4 linked regions of the Schizosaccharomyces pombe genome follow. The gene in region 1 interacts genetically with each later gene. Each region holds a gene or a part of one and is shown in the gene's direction. Other genes may lie near its edges. The genes, in order: pun1, ate1, pdk1 and ubp3.

The links.
Region 2: mutations in pun1 (region 1) and ate1 together harm fitness more than expected from each alone (negative genetic interaction), as found in Schizosaccharomyces pombe (one large-scale study listed by BioGRID).
Region 3: mutations in pun1 (region 1) and pdk1 together harm fitness more than expected from each alone (negative genetic interaction), as found in Schizosaccharomyces pombe (one large-scale study listed by BioGRID).
Region 4: mutations in pun1 (region 1) and ubp3 together harm fitness more than expected from each alone (negative genetic interaction), as found in Schizosaccharomyces pombe (one large-scale study listed by BioGRID).

What each region holds. Positions count from the first base shown.
Region 1 is NC_003424.3:3,694,474-3,699,055, reverse strand, and holds pun1 (SUR7 family protein), read left to right. Parts: upstream 1-2,620; 5' UTR 2,621-3,027; coding exon 3,028-3,894; 3' UTR 3,895-4,082; downstream 4,083-4,582. Other genes in the region: mde6 (muskelin), read right to left, coding at 1-486, 529-635, 688-1,261, 1,304-1,548; ain1 (alpha-actinin), read right to left, coding at 4,165-4,582. UniProt on the Schizosaccharomyces pombe protein: Contributes to the wild-type cellular response to nitrogen stress through signaling pathways that regulate the expression of genes involved in amino acid biosynthesis. Required for wild-type filamentous growth, cell growth, and cell-cell adhesion.
Region 2 is NC_003424.3:2,075,827-2,081,155, reverse strand, and holds ate1 (arginine-tRNA--protein transferase), read left to right. Parts: upstream 1-2,312; 5' UTR 2,313-2,425; coding exon 2,426-2,542; exon of another isoform or gene 2,543-2,596; coding exon 2,597-2,628; exon of another isoform or gene 2,629-2,669; coding exon 2,670-2,735; exon of another isoform or gene 2,736-2,789; coding exon 2,790-3,313; exon of another isoform or gene 3,314-3,359; coding exon 3,360-3,430; exon of another isoform or gene 3,431-3,471; coding exon 3,472-3,732; exon of another isoform or gene 3,733-3,771; coding exon 3,772-3,876; 3' UTR 3,877-4,049; downstream 4,050-5,329. Other genes in the region: AAA family ATPase Elf1, read left to right, coding at 1-1,882; serine/threonine protein kinase Pit1, read left to right, coding at 4,910-5,329.
Region 3 is NC_003423.3:3,113,305-3,119,127, reverse strand, and holds pdk1 (serine/threonine protein kinase Ppk21/Pdk1), read left to right. Parts: upstream 1-2,618; 5' UTR 2,619-2,741; coding exon 2,742-2,945; exon of another isoform or gene 2,946-3,048; coding exon 3,049-3,285; intron 3,286-3,339; coding exon 3,340-3,449; intron 3,450-3,512; coding exon 3,513-3,683; intron 3,684-3,733; coding exon 3,734-4,667; 3' UTR 4,668-4,897; downstream 4,898-5,823. Other genes in the region: proteasome core particle subunit beta 1 Pre3, read right to left, coding at 501-909, 1,093-1,225, 1,278-1,360, 1,404-1,459; SPOM_SPBC1778.09 (GTPase-activating protein), read right to left, coding at 5,160-5,823.
Region 4 is NC_003423.3:3,675,150-3,680,734, forward strand, and holds ubp3 (ubiquitin hydrolase Ubp3), read left to right. Parts: upstream 1-2,499; 5' UTR 2,500-2,563; coding exon 2,564-2,644; intron 2,645-2,682; coding exon 2,683-4,140; 3' UTR 4,141-4,512; downstream 4,513-5,585. Other genes in the region: RNA methyltransferase Nop2, read right to left, coding at 1-1,428; erd2 (HDEL receptor), read left to right, coding at 4,877-4,898, 4,936-5,061, 5,117-5,585.

The sequences.
Region 1 (4,582 bases):
TAACACATGTCTAAGATGAATTCTTGATCATAGCTTTGACCACCGAAAATATAAAGTTTGTTCTCATCAGGAAAATATTCCATGCAATGACCCATCCTTTCAATCTTAAACTCACAGTGTTTTTGACGATCCTCATACCTGACAGCCAACTGTTCCCAAATTCGATTTTTCGTATCATATGCATAAAGTCCCTCGAATACCAGTTCATCTGGATCCCATTTACATCCACCACTCACATATACAATACCTCGCTTTTCGTCTACTGACATTCCATGGTCAAAAATAGCGGCAGGCCCACCATCTTTTGAAGTGTCATAGGATAAACATGTCCAAACTTTTTTGCTAATATCAAATTCCCAAAAATCTGTCCTTGCATCTGGGGGCACCTCGGTTTCCCTAGATGAGCCAAAGTAATTCCCAAGTAGATACAGCTTTTGTTGGCTAGTATCAATGACCATTCTGTGACAAACCCTCTCACCAGGAATTCTAATACGTTAATGGATAGATTCTTTCTAAAAAATGACATACCCATATTCATTCTCCATAATCCATAAATCTTTATCAACATTGTAAATCCAAAAATCAGAAAATGTTTTGACACCATCCCAGCCGCCGTATAAATAAATACAATTGTCCTGTATGAGGATAACTGTTAATACAATAAAATATCGAAAAAATCTAAGGTACCTTTGGATTGTAAACCATTTGATGACCGCTTCTTCTACTTATTCCTTTCAAAAATGTAGCTATTCTATGCGACCGTAATTTGGTTAATTTATGCTTTGGCCATTTCTCAATAATTTCAGCTTGAAGTTCTTGTTGAAACAGAAGAATGGTTTTTTGAGTGTCTCCTAGTCTGCAAAATGCATCATACATTCTCATTAAGGGTGAATGTGGTATGGAAAGCTGGTAGCTTTGAAGTATCACAGAACATATATCAAGTTTCCCTTTAAAAGCAAAGTAAGAGAGAAGGCAATTGAGTGCCTTTTTTTCTAGATGTAAAGCTCTGTTCTTCTCTGTGCATGATAAAGCGCTGGCTGAGTCAATGCCGTGTAAAGCAACATACCATATACTCATGTTAAATTCATGAGCATGAGCTTGAAGTGGAACAATTTTGATATACTTACAAGCAATTGAATTCTCAATTTTGTTATATTTCTTGATACACAATGGAAATGTTTCTCGATTTGAATCATTTGTCAATCCAGCTCTTAATAAAGGGAACATCAAATGCTGTTCACGCCCCCCATATACTATAAAACTTAAAACTGTTAGAGGAAGAAAAAAAAAATAAACCGCTTACTCTTTAAGGTTGCAAAGATGGGGAGTGTGGAATTTCCCAAAGGTGATATCGGTAACCAACGCAAGTTTATCAAGTTTCAGAATTACATACTGTTCTTCAGAGTTGTTGGGTTTACATATTGAAGTATTACAGCTCCATCGGCTGTTAGCCTGGTGTGGATTATCGATAAGTATATTGATAGGATGAAATGCTCCAGAATAGCTGGACCAGCTTTGAATGGTATAAGACAATTCTTTACGTTCCATTTAAAGAATCAATAATTATCTTCGTCTGACCGCTATGAGTCTAGCAACAATGTATGTGTATTGGAGAAATCAGGAAAGCACCTAATGTAAACAAACAAAAGAGGCAGTAATGATCGCTTCCTTAAGGTGCTTTACAGTCTTGGTAAGGGTCTAAACTTAAAAGGGAAATTTCAGTAAACAATTATAATTCATTTTGTAAAAGTTGAAATTGGATCCAGTATTGAACTTAACTTATTGACGAATATGAAGAAAGTAGTTCTGTTCTGCCATTCGATATTACAAAAGAAACTCCAACAGCTCTTTCGCATTTCTCCAGAAAAAAAAATAACTATTTTGTCATTATCTGAGAATTTCGCTCATTTATTTGGCAAATTAAATGAATTCACAAACTACCCAATCTTGCGATGGACCAAACCACTTTCCAAAATTTCAATTGTAACTAGAGCAACACAACCATATTAAGTATAAATTATTGGTTAATTAAGTATCCTCGTCATGAAAGCATGGTAGAAGATAATATGGGAAATCTATATGATGTTAGTTTAAATATTATATCTGATTCATTGACGACGTAAATTCCTCTTCTCTATTATATAATCACGGATCTTTGAGAGTCATTAAACGATTAAATGTTAATATGATAATCATATGATTTCTTTTTTATACAAAAACTATATAAAGCCCAAATTATTGTGTTCGGTATCATGGAACGAATACTAAGAAAAGCAAAGCGCTTATGTTGATTTTTTTACTTGGCTATCTAATGAACGCTTTCTTTTCATATATAATGGGGCTTGAAACTCAAGCTGCGCCTATATGTCAGTAATGTACGACACAGCATGCGCCGCTGAGTTCGTATATCAGAACTGTTTCTTTTGCTGCGAAAGAACTGTAAAATTGCTGTCACTGCATCCTTTTCACACGTATAATAGTCGAGCTTGTTGCAAACATCGAAAACGTCCCGCGTTTGGTTTATTTACATTGATATGACCCGTCTGTTTACACTTGGTTGTCATGACAACTTCGCTTTCTCAAAACATATTTTACTCGTAGCGGGCCCTCCGTGTCAATTGTGGCATTCCAAATTTACAGAAGATTAAGACTTTAAGAGATTGCGCCTCTGATGCGTATAAAAGGTTAAGAAACAATCAGCTACTTGCCTTTACGATTGAAAAAAAAAACCAGTTCTCTCTCTTTTGTTTACTATCCATACTATCTTGTTTACTCAATATCCTCGCGTTAAATCGTATTAATTTCAAAGAAATTCGTTTTACAACAGCGTTTTTGAAGTGTTTCCCTCTATTTTTCAGCCGATTTTTTGTCCTTCTTCTTCCCAGCTTCTTGAAGAATTGTTTATTTCTGGAGACTACATATCAGTTTTCCTTATTAATCGTGATATCTATTATATATAATCATATATATTATTCTTTCTTTTTGTCATCCCAAGCAAATTGGTTTTTGATATAACTGTTTGTCAAAATGGGAATGGGGTTCAATCCTATTAAAGCTTTGTTCACTGGTATTGGTACCGTTTGCGTTGGAGTTGGCGCGCTTTTGTCAATTCTATGCATCATCAATCAAACTCAGCATAACATTGCTTTTCAAAATATTTACTTTATTCAACTGAATACTACATCTATCTTTTCTGTCGCCAATCAAACTGCTGTTGTCAATAATACAAGCAACCTACTTAACGAGCTTACTGGAACACTGGTAGACACGCTCGAAACATATATTGATCAAGGTGCTACTGATTTAATCGAACAAGTTGAGCAGGAGATGAAGGACGTGTCTGAACTCCCGGACTGGTACTCCATTGGTCTTTGGAATTATTGTCAGGGAAATTCGTCTGATTATACAAATCCTACTTATTGTAGTACTCCTTCTCCTAGTTATTACTTCAACCCCCTTACAATGCTGGAAACCAGTATTAATAATGCAACTGGTAGCCAAATTAACATCACTTTACCTTCCGAGGTGGATTTAGGATTAAAAGTGCTTAAAGGGGCATGTTATGCTATGCGAGCCATGTATATTCTTGGATTTATTTTCTTTGCTCTGACAATAGTTTCAATCGTTATTTCTTGCCTTCCATTTTTTGGTCCCCTCTTTCTCAACGTCTTCTCATTCTTTGCAACTATTTTTACTTTTATCGCTGCAGTTATCGCAGTTGCAACTTATCGTATTGCAATTTCTGAATTGGAAAAAAATATCGAAATTCTTAACATTCCAATCGTTTTAGGAAAGAAAATTTATGCTTATTCATTCCTTTCAGCAGCTGCTGGCTTAGCTGCTTGTATTCTATATTTTATTGGAAATCTTACATCCGGATACAGTCCACTTTAAGTTGTATCGTCCGTTATTTATTGCCCATTATTTGTTAAAAATTAGCATGTTGTTTTATTTTCCCTTCTTTTTGTATTGATGTCAAGTTTCCTTTTTCTTTCATTTTTATGTTAGTTAGCATTGAGATTTGTTTTTCTTCAGATAGTTACTGTATTTAAAAATATACTTTTCTTTGACCCTTGTAACGTATATATATTGTTATTCAAGTATACTAAATTTTCATCCAAATAATGTTCATTAAGTTTATCAAGTGATTCAAAATGCTCCGTTTTAAACTATTTCTTTGTCTTCGGCCAGTAATTGTTTAATCCATGTAAGATAATCCAGTCCTTCTGAATGTTTGTTCATGTTGCATTCTAAAAACTTTACTATATTAGGACGAACCTGACTCCTCAATAGATCATCGGACGTGACATAAGATTTTCCGTCTGCAACATCACAAAACGCATATAAAACTTGACGAGCACTATCACGATCCTCTAATTCTTCCATCACGATTTCTGTAAAACGCTCATAAGTAACACCCTCTTCCGAGTTAGCAGCCCTGTGAAACAAAGCAGTTCCTTCTTCGGTATCATAAACCAAGCCCAATGAGGCCAATGCGGCATAAAACTCGACCTCATTTAACATATTTGATTTTTTCTTTTCAAAATGGCGAAAGACTTTAGTAATTCCGTCTAGTTCTTGT
Region 2 (5,329 bases), 1.6 Mb from region 1:
TGTTGATGGGATTTCAAACCTTACTATTGAGGAAGAGGAACTAGTTAACACTGATTTTTCTTTGGCATACGGTGGCAGATTGCTTCTGAGTCATACCAATCTTCACCTTTATAGAGGTCATCGATACGGTGTTGTTGGTCACAATGGTTGTGGTAAATCAACCTTGTTACGCGCTATTGGTGATTACAAGGTTGAAAACTTTCCCTCACCTGATGAGGTTAAAACTTGCTTTGTTGCACATAGTCTTCAAGGCGAGGATACTAGTATGGCTATCCTTGACTTTGTTGCTCAAGATAAGGCGTTACTGACTATGAATGTTACCCGTCAAGAAGCTGCTGATGCTTTGCATTCTGTTGGTTTTACTGCGGAGATGCAGGAAAATCCTGTTGCTTCTTTATCTGGTGGTTGGAAAATGAAACTGGAGTTGGCTCGTGCCATGTTGCAGAAAGCTGATATTTTGCTTTTGGATGAACCAACAAATCATCTTGATGTTGCCAATATTGCATGGCTGGAAGCATATTTAACCTCTCAAAAGAATATTACTTGCTTGATAGTTTCTCACGACTCTTCATTTTTGGACCACGTGTGTACTGACATCATTCATTATGAAGGTGTTAAAAACCAGGCAAAAAAGCTTGGTTATTATCAAGGTAATCTTTCAGCTTTTGTCAAGGTCAAACCGGAAGCTAAATCATACTATACATTGACAGCCACAAACGAGAAGTTTGTTTTTCCACCTCCCGGTATCTTAACTGGTGTGCGCTCAAACACACGTCTCATATTAAAAATGACAAACGCTTCTTATACATATCCCAACGCGAAGAAGAAGTCATTAGATAATGTTACCGTTGGGTTATCTTTATCTTCTCGTGTTGCCATTTTAGGTCCTAACGGTGCTGGTAAATCAACGCTTATTAAAGTTCTTATCGGTGAAGTAATCCCTCAAGAAGGAAAAGTTTTCAAGCATCCCAACTTGCGTGTGGGTTACGTTGCTCAGCATGCCTTTCATCACTTGGATCAACATCTGGAAAAAACGCCAAGTCAATATATTCAATGGCGTTATGCTGGAGGACAGGACCGCGAAGTTTCAGAGAAGGAATCTCGAAAACTTACCGAAGAAGACCGTGCTCAGCTTCAGCGTGATATTACGGTCAATGGCGAACGTAGAAGAGTGGAAGCTTTGATTGGCCGTCAAAAACTAAAAAAGTCATTTCAATATGAAATTAAATGGTTTGGGAAGCCTCATAAATACAATACGTGGGTGTCTCGAGAAATATTGCTTGAAAATGGGTTTCAAAAGTTTGTACAGGCTTTTGATGATATGGAATCTTCTCGCGAAGGTCTCGGTTTCCGTGAATTGATTCCCGAAGACATCAGGGCACATTTTGAGGATGTGGGCCTTCCTGGCGACATTGCTGATTACAGCCCCATTAGTAGTTTGTCTGGCGGTCAAAAGGTTAAAGTTGTTATTGCTGCGTGTCTCTGGAATAACCCCCAGCTTTTGGTTTTGGACGAACCTACAAACTTTTTGGACAGAGATGCATTAGGTGGTTTAGCTGTTGCTATTCGTGATTGGGAAGGTGGGGTCGTTATGATTTCACATAATGAAGAATTTGTTTCTGCGTTGTGTCCTGAACACTGGCATGTAGAAGCGGGTAAGGTTACCGGTAAGGGCAAGACCGCTGTTGACGATGGAAAGTTTGAAGATCTGTCGGAGAAAGATTTGAAAAAGATTGAGGCTAAAGCTACCAAAAAGAAGAAATTGACGAGAAATGAAATCAAGGCCAAAGAAAGACGTGCTAGAGAGAGAGAATTAGCATGGTTACAATCTCCCAAGGGCACCGAAAAACCCAAATCATTCTTCTCTGATGATGAAGAATAATTTCAGACTAATTTTTTAATTCGCTCTTTGGATTGACAAGTTGAGAGTTGTTTATCCTTTAATTTTCTTTAGACGGTGCTAGTTGTTGAAGTTGGTCTTTTACATATTTACGGTTTACTGATATACCTTTTAGACTTAATTTATATATATAGAACTTGGTGGATGGTATCGTGGATAATATTAATATTAGTCGCTTTTTATATGTTTTGTTTATCGTTAGTGCATGTTATAGTTGTATTAGACGTATACACTTTTGTCATTGACTCTTGTAAAAGGTGTCAAGAGAACTATGTATTTTTTGGGTTTTTTTCTAGATATTCGTATGAAAATGTGATAGACTTTTTAATATGATTAATCAGGAAATTTCTATAAACATGCACTCAACGAAAAATAGGGTACTTAATCTTCAAGAAATAATTGGTGTAGTCTTAGTTCACCTACTCAAAGAGCCTTCAAAATAAAGGCAAAAGAACTGAACTAAGAGTTTTACTACTGATGATATAGTTCATTTAATATTAAACAGGGAAATTTTCAAACAATAGTATGGTATTGGATAAACTGTTGTACACAGGGTACAACGTCAGTACTGAATGTGGTTATTGTAAAAGTGGAAGAAAGACCGAGCATTTTGGTTTATTAGCAGAAAAGCTCAGTTGTGAAGTAAGCGTATAACTCTGCTTTTTGCAAATTTTGCTAACCTACATTTAACCTCAGGACTACCAGCGATTGATTGATTTGGGATGGAGGTAAAAACCTTTATTAGTTAACATTGCTAATATAAAATAAGACGTTCAGGACATTATTTATATAAACCCAACGGGAAAACATCTTGCTGTTCTCTTTATACAATCAGGTACTTAGCATAAGTCGCCAAATATGATTGATTACTAACCGCCGAATGTTGAAGACTCGACAGCTATAATTTTAAAATTGCAAAAGAGCAAAAGAAGGCAATAAAAAAATGGGTCAAATATGTAAATGGAAAGCCATTAAAACCTATGAAAAGCGAAATTAGCACAGATTATTTGAACAATGCCTTTCAAACTATAGAATCGCTCGGAGCTGAAAAATACTCTGTAACTATGGAGCCTTGCACTTACACCGATGAGAAATTTGAAGTCTTCAAAAAGTATCAAATGCAAGTTCATTTAGAGAAAGAAGAGGAAATCACGAAAAAAGGATTTAGCAGGTTTCTTTGCAACTCTCCTTTATTTAATGAAGACAAGGGGATAAAGTATGGTTCTTATCATCAGATGTATCGATTTCAAGGAAGGCTTGTGGCAGTTGGAGTTTTAGACTTGCTACCACATGGTGTTTCTAGCGTTTATCTGTTTTATGATCCTGATATGTCTAAGTTTTCTCTGGGAAGGATTAGTGCCTGCCGTGAAATCTGGCTTGCTCTTGAATGCGGATATCGGTACTACTACATGGGTAGGCTAAAATGTCATTTATTTAATTACGTTGATTGACCTTGCAGGTTATTATATTCACACATGTCCCAAAATGAAGTATAAGGCAACGTATAGTCCATCGTACCTGCTTAATCCCGTACGTATACATTCGATTTTAACTTGAACTAATACAAACAGGGTACAAATAAATGGATACCAATTGAAAACTTTACTTCACTTTGGAATACTGGTGCTCCTAAATATATAAGTTTCGGGGATGAAAATAATAGTGATATTCAAACTGCTGTTGACTACGATTCTTCTGAAGATTCATCTCAAAACGAAGATGATTATACACTGTTTAATCGACAGCTTCCTGGAATTCTTTCAGTAAATGTTGCTGAGTCCTTGGTTTCGGAGAATTTTGCTAACATTGGCAATTCAACTTTCCCCACAAGAGTATGTCTTTATTTTTGAGTAACAATGCTAATTCTTCAGCATGTTTTAAGTTATTTCCCTCAGGTTAAACATTGGTTTGTTGAAATCAATGCTGCTGTGGGCGAAGAAGTCGCAAAGAGTTATACACTTGTTTTATCTAGTTGATATATTATCTGTCTACGTGTTTTATTTGCTTAAGATATGAACATCCTACTTAAAAATCTTAATGAACTCCAGGATGGCTTTGAGAGTAAATTTTACAATGTGACTTACAGAATTAAGTTAATTTTATGCTACTACTTATGTGTGATAGTTTCCTCTTTTATGTCCCTTAATCGAAGTTGATAGCATTTCTAATAATATAAAATACTGCCGGCTTATATATTTATTTTGTAATTATTTATAACTGCACGCTACCTAAAATGTCACCCTAACATAACTTAGTGGGCTTTTCCGTTACGAGTTGTTTGCAACCAAACACAAAAACGGGTTTACCGGTACTTCACGACTTAATATAATCGCAAAACAGTGCATAGTAGGTGAGAAAGGATTTTATCATTTAGAGAAGAGATTTTACTTTAATTGTTCTTCTTTTTTCTTTCTCAAGTGTTACTGCTAGGTTCTCATTCTATAGAGTATTAGCAAACACCAGATTTCGATGACATTTCGTGTCAAAATTGGGTTGACTGCATTTTAAAAATAATTAATCACGGTTGGCTTACAATTCAACTTCTAGGCACTGATTTTTTCTTCGAATGCCATTTTGAAGTTATTTTACTTTTACTTTCCTAAAACAAGGTGTTGTAATAAGGGATTGTTCTTTTATCTATTTTTGTACCATTTGTATAAAGAATTCATTAATTTGCACTGTGATTTTCTTAATACAGGCTTAAATCCATTTACCGCTTCCATTTTTTCTTTGAATAAGTTACACCATTTCTCAACGATAAATACTTGTATAGAGAGGTGTATTTACTTGTTCAATTTCATTCTTTATTGAAAATCACTGATTTTGATTTGATTTTTATTGCGTTTAAGCTGTATGCTACTTGGAAGCTGCTTCTCAAGTATAATATTGCCTTTGCAACAAAGTTTTTTTATATCTCTTTTTACAGGATTTCGCATGTTTTATCTTTTTTGTTGAGGTGCTTCACTGATTCTATTTTGTACCTAAACTCGATTTTTGTGCGGATATATTATGAAGAAGTATTTGTGGGGTACTCCAACTACGAATACCGTATTTACAGGCAAGCAACCAAAGTATACCAAGGAGGTTCGCAAATGCATTTCAATTGATGAAGTATATAATGTTGTGCGAAAGGTTGGAGATGGCACCTTCGGTTCAGTTTACCTTGCAACTACTAAAACTCCTTCTAAAGAAGTAGTAGCTATAAAAAGTATGAAGAAAAAGCTGGCTAAGGTTTCTGATGCTACCAGATTGCGCGAGGTACATTCTTTGTTGAGACTTTCCGAAAATGAAAATATAGTTAATATTTTCGATTTATATATAGATCAATTTCGATGTTTACATATTGTAATGGAGTTTCTCGATTGCAATTTGTACCAGCTAATAAGTACTAGAAAGAACGACCCTTTGACTCTTGAGCAAGTTCAAGAT
Region 3 (5,823 bases), on another chromosome or scaffold:
AGCTTAATACATATCTCACCGTGTATATTCTTACCGTTAAAGTTTGTTCTTTTCACATAATTTCTGCATTCAATTTTAAACAAAAAAAGACACATCATATTTTATTCTTCTTTAGAAGGGTCTACCGGTGTTCGGACTAATTTTATATTTTACATGGCTGATTACAATTTTCTTGTATGAAGCTGATAATCAAAATTTTAAATGTGCTTGCAGGCATCTTACAACATTTTTACTCTTATGACAATTACATAGGACTCATAACAATAATATTCTTTCACTATCAACAATATAACTACACTTCGGTAGTTAACTGTAACTATAAAAAATCTTTCTATTTTAATCATCACAAAGACTTATCTCACTGACCAGAAAAGTAACTTTTCTTCATGACCTTGCACTCCAAAAGCTACAAATAATGAGACAGGCATTAATAAGGTCAAGTCTAGCATAAGCATTGGGTATCAGTATAGTCACGTAAAATAAAAGGAAACGTGAAGTACTTAGTGAGTAAATACGGGAATAGGGTTAGCAGTATCAATGGCAAAAAATTTACGCTCCATTCCATCTTTATTTAAAATGACCATTCGAATGGTACCACCACTGCTGCCATCGCGTTCCATGGCTAAAGCAACAGCGTTCTTTAAAAATTCAACAGCCTCCTCTTGGGTCATATTTTCGCGAAAGTTAGCATCGCAAAATCCATAAATAAAAGCAGAACCACTTCCTCCAATAGCTAAAGGTTGCTTATGCAAACTACCACCTAACGGAATACTGTAAACATCTCCCCCAGTTTTTTCATCATATCCAGCAACAATTAAACCTGCACTAAGCATATTTTTGTTTTGATAACACATTTCAGAAGCTAAAGTAGCAGCTGTATGAACACTAGGGTCATGGCCAAATTGAATACTTCATAATCGTTAGATAATTTTTTTAACAACAATAAAATGAAAAATAAAACATGCAAAAAGGCTTTAGTAATCATCTAGTAAACATAAGGACTTGAGAGTAAGTCGATAGTTTATTCTAAAGGATAAACCAGCTAAAGCAGCCTTAATTTACAGTCATTCGGTTCATTCAAGGGTAACTTACCGATACATGGAAAGATAGTATTTTAGAAGATCAGCCACAGTTTGCGTATCAGCAGCAGAACCACTGCGACAGCACCAAATATTGTCTGTCAGCTGAGTCAGCTTATCAGTGACACGATTTGCAATATATGCACCTAGCAACGTTAGAAATCAAAGAACGAAAAGTTCTGATATTCCAATACACACCCATAGTTGTTCGAGAATCTGCAGCAAGTATAACGCCATCTTTATAACGGAGCGCCGTGATGGTGGTACCCATACGAATTTCTCTACAAAGTCAGAACTTTCAAAATCAATTTCCCGCAATCATACCCCTTTTTAATAGCATTAATGTCAACATTCATAGTATCTTTCACAGTAGTGGCCATTTTCAGAAGTTTGGTGAAAGGTTAAAATGATTAGGGACTTGTGTATGGTATTGAGAAGCAGCCAAAATTTAGGTAACATTGCTACCTGCATATGAAATTGCAGTATGAATATAAAAAATTGTTATTCAATTGTAAAAAGTGTTGAAAGAATTCGTATATTTTTTAAGAAATTCTTTAACGACTATAGATAAGGGTATAGTATTAAAAATTTTTGATCAAAAGTTACAGCCGACTACAGAGTTATAACCATGGATTGAACTTGAAAGTGCTCAGCTAGAAATTAACATAGGAAAGAATGAAAGAATCTAAAAGTTTGGGACTAAAAAGGTTTCTGAAGATTTTGTTTTCTTAATATTTGACGACTGCTTATATTTGGTTTACTTACGCAAATAACATGAAAAAAACCATAGCTATTGAAGAATGAAAATAATATGACCATGATCTTTTAACAAAAAATGAAGATATTGGAAGTTCGACCTGGAATGATGTATATATATTTACGAGAATTTCTTACGACGGATCTTCTAAACTGTGAATTAGGTATCATGTTATGTTTCATTTCTAGCGAAGCAGAATTCCAAGCAATATTGAGGTGATAGGGGATGTTCCAAATTCTGTTAATCGCCAAATTAATTTTGGAATTAAGGCAAGAAGCATTTCATTAACTACAGTGTATTTTGCTTATTTTAGTAAGGCAGTATCCCAAAGACAACTGGCTTTCTAAAAATCTCTTTTGTTTAGGTGTCTGTTATTTCAACAATATGTACATATATATATTTATTTATAAACTATTTCAAACATATTCAAGCAATTTATTGCTTTTTAGAGCGAATATCGCCATGGATAGCTTAGCGTGAGCTTAAAACATTGAATTAAAAAAATTTTCATTGCCGTTCCAAATTGTATCGCTTTCGCTAATGCTATAAACACCCAAAGCAATTTTTTTGTACTACCATCTTCAGGTCATATCGAAGTATCATTAATGCGATGTAAGACTTTGATGGGTATGATAAGGCTATCAAGCTGCTTAATGAGCATTTTTTCTTTGACAATTCGACCTTTAATTTATTGTTTACATGGCATATTCTACGTTTTAAATTTATGTAATAATGACGAGGATTGGAGAAATAGGGTACTCTACTTAGTGTTTACATCCTTCACAGAACACAACTCCAAGGCCAGCAACTCCACAATTAAATGCACGGTGTTTCAGTTGGAATCGAACAGCAAACGTAAAGTAACTCAAACACAACTTCATTTTTCATGAAAACCTCTTTTATAAATGATGGATCTGGAGCATAAACGCATTAGCCGAAGTACATTGCCGGATTATGCGGATCCCGATTACTTCGAGGCTAGAGGTGAAAGAAATCCGGTAAAACCTCAGTCTTCCAACGTAGTACCAGGAACAAGTCATATAGGATCGATCAAATCTCCGGCGGATTACGTTTTTGGTGACATTATAGGAGATGGATCATTCTCAAAGGTAAGTTGATACATTGCTTCTCAGTTCAGAAGTTTTTCAACCGCAGGTCGATTAACCTATGGACCTTCGATTACTGACGAATAAGTTGTCTAATATTCGTTAGGTGAGAAGAGCAACTGATAAAAAGAGTTGGAAGGAGTACGCTATCAAAGTCCTTGATAAAAAATATATTGTCAAGGAAAATAAGGTTAAGTATGTGAATATAGAGAGAGATTCTATGATGAGACTTAATGGGTTTCCTGGTATCTCTCGTCTTTTCCATACATTTCAGGATGATTTAAAACTTTATTATGTGCTTGAACTTGCACCCAATGGTGAACTTTTGCAATACATCAAAAAGGTATATTTTTTCATTAGTCTATTCATTTTTCCTTTATTAACTAAGCTTTGGTAGTATCGTTTTCTTGATGAGAATTGTGTGCGCTTTTATGCTGCTGAGATTTTATCAAGTATCGAGTATATGCACTCCTGCGGTATAATTCACAGAGATCTCAAGCCAGAAAAGTATGTTTGAGTAGTGGTCATTAAATGTTCGTTTCCTTTTCCTAATTCTAACCTATTTTTTAGCATTTTATTTGATGGAAATATGCATGTAAAAATTACCGATTTCGGCACAGCCAAAATCCTACCCCCTAAATATGTAAATAGCCCTGATTACACTACCTTTCCAAGCTCCTTTGTTGGCACTGCGGAATATGTTGCTCCTGAACTATTGTCTAGACAAGTTGTTTCAAAATCGTAAGAAAACCTATTATCCCAGTCTATTTTTTTTCTGACAAATATTTAAGTTCCGATTTATGGGCTTTTGCGTGTGTTGTTTATCAAATGATTGTTGGTTCCCCTCCTTTTCATGGCAGCAATCCTAATAATATTTTCAAAAAGATAATGAGCCTGGAATATGAGCTTCCAAAGCTCTTACCACCTGATATCGTTCCTTTGTTTAGCCATCTTTTCCGTATTCAGCCATCTGATCGATCTACAACCCAACAAATAAAACAATTTCCTTTTTTTGCTACTATTACTTGGGACAATTTATGGACTCAAGATCCTCCTCCTATGCAGTCATTCCGGCCTAATTATAACATAGCCATTCCTAATGCTCCTGCTTATTATCGCTCAAATGTGACAGCCGCAGCTGCTGCTAATGCTGCCGCGGCATTTGCTTCTGCATCCATTGTAAAGCATCAGGAAACTGCTCGACGTCAGGAGCTTCCTACGGTAAATCGTTTCACTGCTCCAACTGCTCATTATGGCTATGCTTCACTTCGAAGCCATCAGATGCCTGTTGACAGACTTTATTACAAGTTGGTTCCATCGTCTGAGTCGATCATTGAATCTACCTCGGTCTTCGTATCACCCATTCCAAGTGTACCTGAGGGTAATAAGTTTCCATCTGGACTCTCAAAAATGTTTTTGAAAAGAAAGCAAAGGGTTATGCTATTAACTGATGTTGGTCGATGCGCTTTTGTTTGTAAAGGAAAACATGAGAGACTTTTTATCGAGATGGAGGTGAACTTGAAGGATTCCAGTGTTGTAGTGATTTTTGATGAAAATAGTTCCAAGCGATTCTTGATTGAAGATAAGGTCCAGTCCTGGATAATAGAAGACAGTTCCGGGGATGTCACCAAGTATAAAGACAAAATCCTTAAGTTTGCTGATGTTGCGTCTTCTCATCAATCTCGTTCTTCAGAAGAGAATGTAGAAGAGAACGAGGAAGAGTAACCCCATACCTTGTTTTATTTGATTTTTCAACCCATTTACTACCTTCTTTATATTTTATTATTTGTCGTCAGTGTTTTGGTAATATTTAACTATTTAAGCTATACATAATTAGAAATTACGACGCACCTAGGAAGTCGCAAGATGGAGAGGTATTATGTATACATATATATGTATAGTATTTATAATATATATACTTGAATTAATTTTATGTTAAAATTCCATTTCTTTTGGTGAGATGTTAAAATTATAATATTAGTAAGAAGAGAGAGTTAGATAGGATCGATTTAAAGCGCATACTCTTGATACCAATAAAAGTTTTGTGGTATCAAGGAAATAATGTTTATCAACGTTCCAAATTAAAACAGAAAAAGAAAATGATAAATGTTCAGGACCCATTATGCTAAGCTCTGTGATATCAATCCTCATCTTGTTGACATATGTTACATCATGTGGGCCACAATTAATAAAGCTATTAAAAAAGAGTTAGAAATATCAGTTTCTCTTACTTTTAGAAGAATTTTCAGAAGGCATTTTTTCCCAAAATAATTGAATTCTAGCAAGCAGGGCGTTATCGTTTTGAATGGGAATAACACCTGACAGAGCTTGCATTACTACTTCAAAGTCTGCATCAATTAGCGTGTCCCACATTCCTTGTATAACCGCAAGAGAAGTGGCTTGCAATAACCTGACAGTTTGACCTTTGCTTCCACCTAATAAAAACAGGAGATCCCATATACGTAATTGAGTATGGAAGGGCACGCATTGATGAAAAACAGTGAGATACCAACGTGTAGCAAAAGCAGATGGTTCTGCTCCAATTTCCGCCAGATGTCTGCCTGATTGTGTAAAACTTAACTCATGCTTAAGCATGTCAAAAGCCTTTAAAAGTGTATCAAACCCGGAAGAAAACAAGTCCCCCATGCCTCTATTTTCCAATAAATTTACCATCATTATAAATGCTTGTTCTTCGGGATAGTAAATGAGCAAGGTCGCAGCAATAGAAGCCATTCCTTGAACGTATCCAACACGAGGTATATAGAGAGCTACAGCATGAAGAACTCTAAATAGTAAACGTTGCCCTCCAATGTAGCGTTTTCGGAATAAGAAATGTGTAGCAGCTGTTCTGGGAACATCTAGGTCAATTTGAACATCATAG
Region 4 (5,585 bases), on another chromosome or scaffold:
AGTAATACTGCAAGTAGAATACACGATAAAACCACCGGTTTTGCTGTCAGCATTGACAGAATCAATAGCGCTTAGAAGCAATTGCCTTTGTAAATGGCTAAGAGTATCAAAATCCCTTTCAGATTTGTTAGTTTTAACAGACTGATCTTTATATATAACACCAGTACCCGAACATGGGGCGTCAAGGAGAACACGGTCAAAACCGCCAATTACTTCGTTGGGAAACTTGCGGCCATCGTAATTACATACAATAGCATTACGTACACCTAAACGATGAATGTTAGCGGAAAGAGCCTTTGTTCGAGCTTTGTTAGAATCATTTGCAAAGATAATTCCAGTATTCTTTTGTAATGCAGCAACATAAGTGACTTTACCACCAGGTGCTGAGGACATGTCAAGGATACGTTCATTTGGTTGAGGCGCAAGGGCCATTACAGGCAAGAAGGAAGATGCAGCTTGCAGGATGTAATGACCAGCTAAATATTCGGGTGTCGCACCGATTGGAACCTGGGATTCGAATACTTGGAGACCTACTTTGGACCATTTACCAATTGGTTCCAAATTGACACCACGATTAATTAATGCTTGGGCTAATTCTCGTCGCTGGGTTTTTAAAGTATTGGTACGAATTGTGACAGGACGAGGCATTTCATTTGCCTCAAAAAACTCAACAGCCTCAGAAACTGAAAATAATTCAAATAACTTCTCAGCAAGAAAGCGAGAATAACCGTAATACGCACATATATCATTTAAGAGTTGATCAACATATTCAGAACGATTGCGTCCAGGTTCACACAAATTTTTAAAATCATTCAAAACACGGACTATTTCCTGTATCCGCAATTGAATTTGGCTCAAATCCTGTGGAAGAGTAGATATTGGTTGGCTATCGGTAAAACCATCAATAGGTGGAAGAACAGTAGGAGCCTCAGGATGTATGTTGGTATGCAATTCTTCCTCGGCTTCTTTTTCCTCTAATTCCGCTTCCTCATCAAGTTTGCGAGACATGGCTTCCATATTCGCAAGTTCCAAATCCTCTTCATCTCCAGAATCATCGCTAAACATAGGCTTAACCTCATGCTCTTCATCCGAATCAAAAACAGAATCTTCTTCCTCCCCTTCACATTCTTTAGCCTCATCATCGATAAACTCGTCAGCAAATGTTTGGGGTTCCTCGTCATGTTCCAAGTCTGATAAAGTTTCAGCCTCTTCAAATTCGTCTGCATCAATAAGATCTTTTTCATTCTCAGAATCCGAATTTTCAAACAAAGATTTCTTTTCTTCTGCTAATTGGCGTTTCCGAGAATTTTGTGGTTTTTCTTTTGAATGCTTTCTCTTTTTTGCATTTTCTGTCACTTTATGAGAAGAATTATGATTTTCCTCTAAAGTTGGGGGAATTCCTTGCTTAGACTTCTGTTTTCTTCCCATCTTTTATGGAAAATATGTGATGAAGTCCAAAAACGTTTATTTGGGCTGAGGAAAAATTTTGGCACTGGCATTCTTTCAGTCCAACCTCCACTATTCACATCGCTGAGTTTTGTTAAAAACTTTTACGAAAGATAAAGAACATTAAATTTTTTCAAGCAATACTACACTACGCTATGACATACTATGTTGCGTATCACTATATGCCATATGTTTAAATACTTAAGATCCGTTTATTGATACACGAGGATAAACTATCCGTCTATCTACATAGATGCAACGTTGATAGCAACTTATAGAAATATTATTAATAGAGCTACAGTTGAACTGAGGAACGAGGTACAGTTCCTAGCTGTATCGATGATCGATACTAATAGCTTCCTATAAACATTGTCAGTTAAAAATATACTGCATCCCGCTATATTGTAGATCGCAAGAGAAAATTGCCGCAGTTCTATGTATCGTTAAACAGATATTCAAACTGCATTGCTGAAACACAAAAAGATATACCGCATAGCAACAGCATAGTTAACATTATTAAAAATTCACGACTATTGTTATATTTATCTTTTTTAAAATTTGCTACGTACTTTACTGCTCAGCTTACTTAAAAAAGTCACTTAATTTACTCGTTCATCTTACTTCACCTCCTTGACAATTAATCATTTCAATTATGATCACATTAAGACTTGGTTAACGATTGAATTTGCTGCGGCGTAAAATGAGTGACAATATATATTCAAGACCTATATATAGTTCACACAACAGCAGAATATCGAATTTTAAAATTTACTATTTACTTTTCTCTTTTCGTATCACTTTTGTGGTTTAAGATACATATAGTGGTACTTAGATATGTAAATATACCGTATTCTCTAAAAATAACTAAAGATGGGCATGGACATTCAATAATTAATAATAAAAAAGAACAACTAAAAATAATTAGGAATTTGAGTTAGGCGGTCAAGTGTTTACAGTGGAATATCACCATAATACACTTGGTGGAATACGAAGAATTAACGAGGTATAGTGTATATTAAAAAAAGTTTTGGACAGTCTTTTGAAGAGCAAAGCGAACGACAGCCAACCATCAAATTAGTAAACAAGAGTTCAATCTTGCTAGAGTGTGCGTATTTCCATGCGAGATTTGACCTCTGCAACGGACAGCGCGTCTTTGGAAAGTGATTCGTCACGAAATCAATTTATTATCAATTCACTGGTATGTTTTATTAAAATTGTGATTATACTAACGTTTAGCTACCATGGTACTCATGCTCTGAACATGAATTTCCTCATCGAAAGGCTAGAAAAAGGCGTTCGCCTAAGAATTTAGATTGGTCGGTTTCGGTGCAAATGCCTCTGGTCACATCAAAGACGAAAGAGTCTGAAAAATCGCCTAAATCGTGGTCTGCAATTGCGAAAAAGCATGTTCAAGGAGACTCTCCTGTTAAAAAATCACATTCTGTTCCGGTACCGTCTGACAGGTCTGAGAAAAAAAGTTTCAATTCATCCCTTGGTGAATTGATCGAAACATATTCTCCATCCCTCGATGCACCCCGTCCTATACAGCCTCGGGGTTTTATAAATACCGGAAATATATGTTTTATGAACTCTATTTTACAGGCACTAATGTATTGTGTTCCATTTTATAATTTACTTAAGCAAATTAACCGGATGGTTCCGTATAATTTTGAACGTACAACACCTCTTATTGAATCGTTGACAATGCTTTCTAGGGATTTTAGAGAATATTCTGAGAAATTTGATTTACAAGGAGATTCTATTTTGCCAGAAGTGGTATATTCAGCTACTAAGGGGAATCCTCGATTTGAAATGTTGCAGACCGGCGAACAGGAGGATGCTGAGGAGTTTTTGAATTTGTTTCTTGACGAATTACATGAAGAATTCGTGCGTGAACGTAGACATTATTTATTAAAAAATGACGAAAGAAATCCAAAATCTGATATCAAAATTTCAAATGGTATCAAGTCTGGTTTAGATAGTTTTGATGATCAATCTTCTGTAGAAGCTAGTGGCTGGACCGAAGTTGGTAAAAATAAAAAGCCAGTAATTGCTAGATCTGCTACTGTTGAAAGGTCTCCTATAAGCCAAATTTTTGGTGGTCAGCTGCGCTCTACCTTAAGGGTTCCGAGTGCAAGAGATTCTGTTTTGTTAGAACCGTTTCAACCTCTGCAACTCGACATTCAAGCAGAAGATATACATTCAGTTATCGATGCGTTGGAGCATATGACCGCCCCTGAAATTTTACCGGAATGGCATTCGTCGAAAGGAAATGTTACTGCTACCAAGCAAATGTATATAGAGTCACTTCCTCCTGTCTTGATTCTTCACCTTAAACGATTCTTTTACGAAGCATCTGGCGGTACACAGAAAAATTATAAGCCTATTGCTTATCCTGCTCGCTTGAGTATTCCACAAAACGTTTTCAGCCCTTCTGTTCGTGGTTCCATACATCCGGAATATGATTTGAATGCAGTGGTTTATCATCACGGTACTTCTGCGTCTGGTGGTCATTATACTGTCGATGTTCAGCAACTTGATAAAAGCGGCTGGTTTCGGATTGATGATACACACATTCACCGCGTACCTATTCATGATGTTGAAAACTCCGAACTTTCCGCTGATCCGAGTCTTAGTAAACTTGGTCACGGCGATCGTGTGGCATACTTACTGTTTTACACACGACGCTCCTAGGTCATCTGGATTCCTTCCTCCCAAAAAAAATTAACCAATAAAAACCTTAATTGTTTTGTGTATTCTTCAATAAACAACTCAAGGATTTGAGCTAAAACTGGGGACTACACTTTTTTATAATTCTTTTTGTTTAAAACGTCGGTTAGAAAATTTTATCATATCTTTTTTACATAATTTTCTCAAAAAGGTTCAGCAATTTTTTATTATTTTTTATTTTATGAACTTTAGCTATTTAAGATTACGTTCCCTCTCAATCCCTTTAAACTAATCGGCTTTATAATACAACCTTTCTAGGAACTTACTCCGAATATACAAGTGAATTTTCATTGCAGCTTTAATGCAGTATATATTTTAAAACAGTACCAAAAGTAGGGTCAAGTGGTTTTTATTTTGCTGTCCTATTAGTAGTAGGTCAAGTCCAGCTTCATAATGTAATATTTGAAGTACTATGGCATCAAGTTTGTCACTTTAAAGCCCATTTCTATAATTTTCATGCAAGCTAAACTCCTTGTTTTAAATAAAAAGATTTGATCGTTTGAGAATCTTGATTCAGCGCATTCTAAAGTACGAATATAAATTACAGTTTTTTTGTTGCATTTATTAAACATTTGGCCCCCACTTGCATACCCCAATTATATCTCTGCGCAGTTAAGCCTATTGTCAACACCACTACCAAATTCTTTTTCCTAATACCTGGCGCGTTGAAATAGGCACTCCTTACTTTTATTAATTAATCATGACATTTTTCAGTGCACTGGGTATGATGAATTTCGTCAAAGTAAAGCTAATCATTAGGTGATATGGCCCATTTGGCTGCTATTTTCTTGCTTTTGCACCGAATGAAAAAATCGAAAACCTGTTCAGGACTATCTCTCAAATCCCATCTTTTGTTTCTGCTTGTTTATGTTACACGTTATTTGAGTATGTGCTGAACTTTTCGAAAAATACTTTCTTTGCTAACTCTTTTTTTTAACAGATCTCTTTTGGAGATACAAAAGCTTGTATTATTTCTTGATGAGGATAGTTTTTATAGCTTCCGAATCCTATATATGCTACTTGATGTTAATGACTTTGCGACCTACATATGACAAACGTCTTGATACTTTTCGAACTGAATATATCTTAGGTGGTTGTGCAGTTCTGGCTCTCATTTATCCAACCAGTTATACCATTAGTAACATCCTATGGACTTTTAGTATTTGGTTAGAAAGTGTTGCAATTCTCCCTCAATTGTTTATGTTACAACGATCTGGTGAAACAGAGAGCCTGACTGCCCATTACTTATTTGCAATGTGCTTATATAGAGGACTATATATTCCTCATTGGATTTATCGTATTGCAGTTCACAAGAAAGTCATCGGTGTTGCAATTCTTGCGGGCATTATCCAAACCGTTTTGTATGGTGATTTTGCAGTCGTATATCGCCGAACAGTTCTACAGGGAAA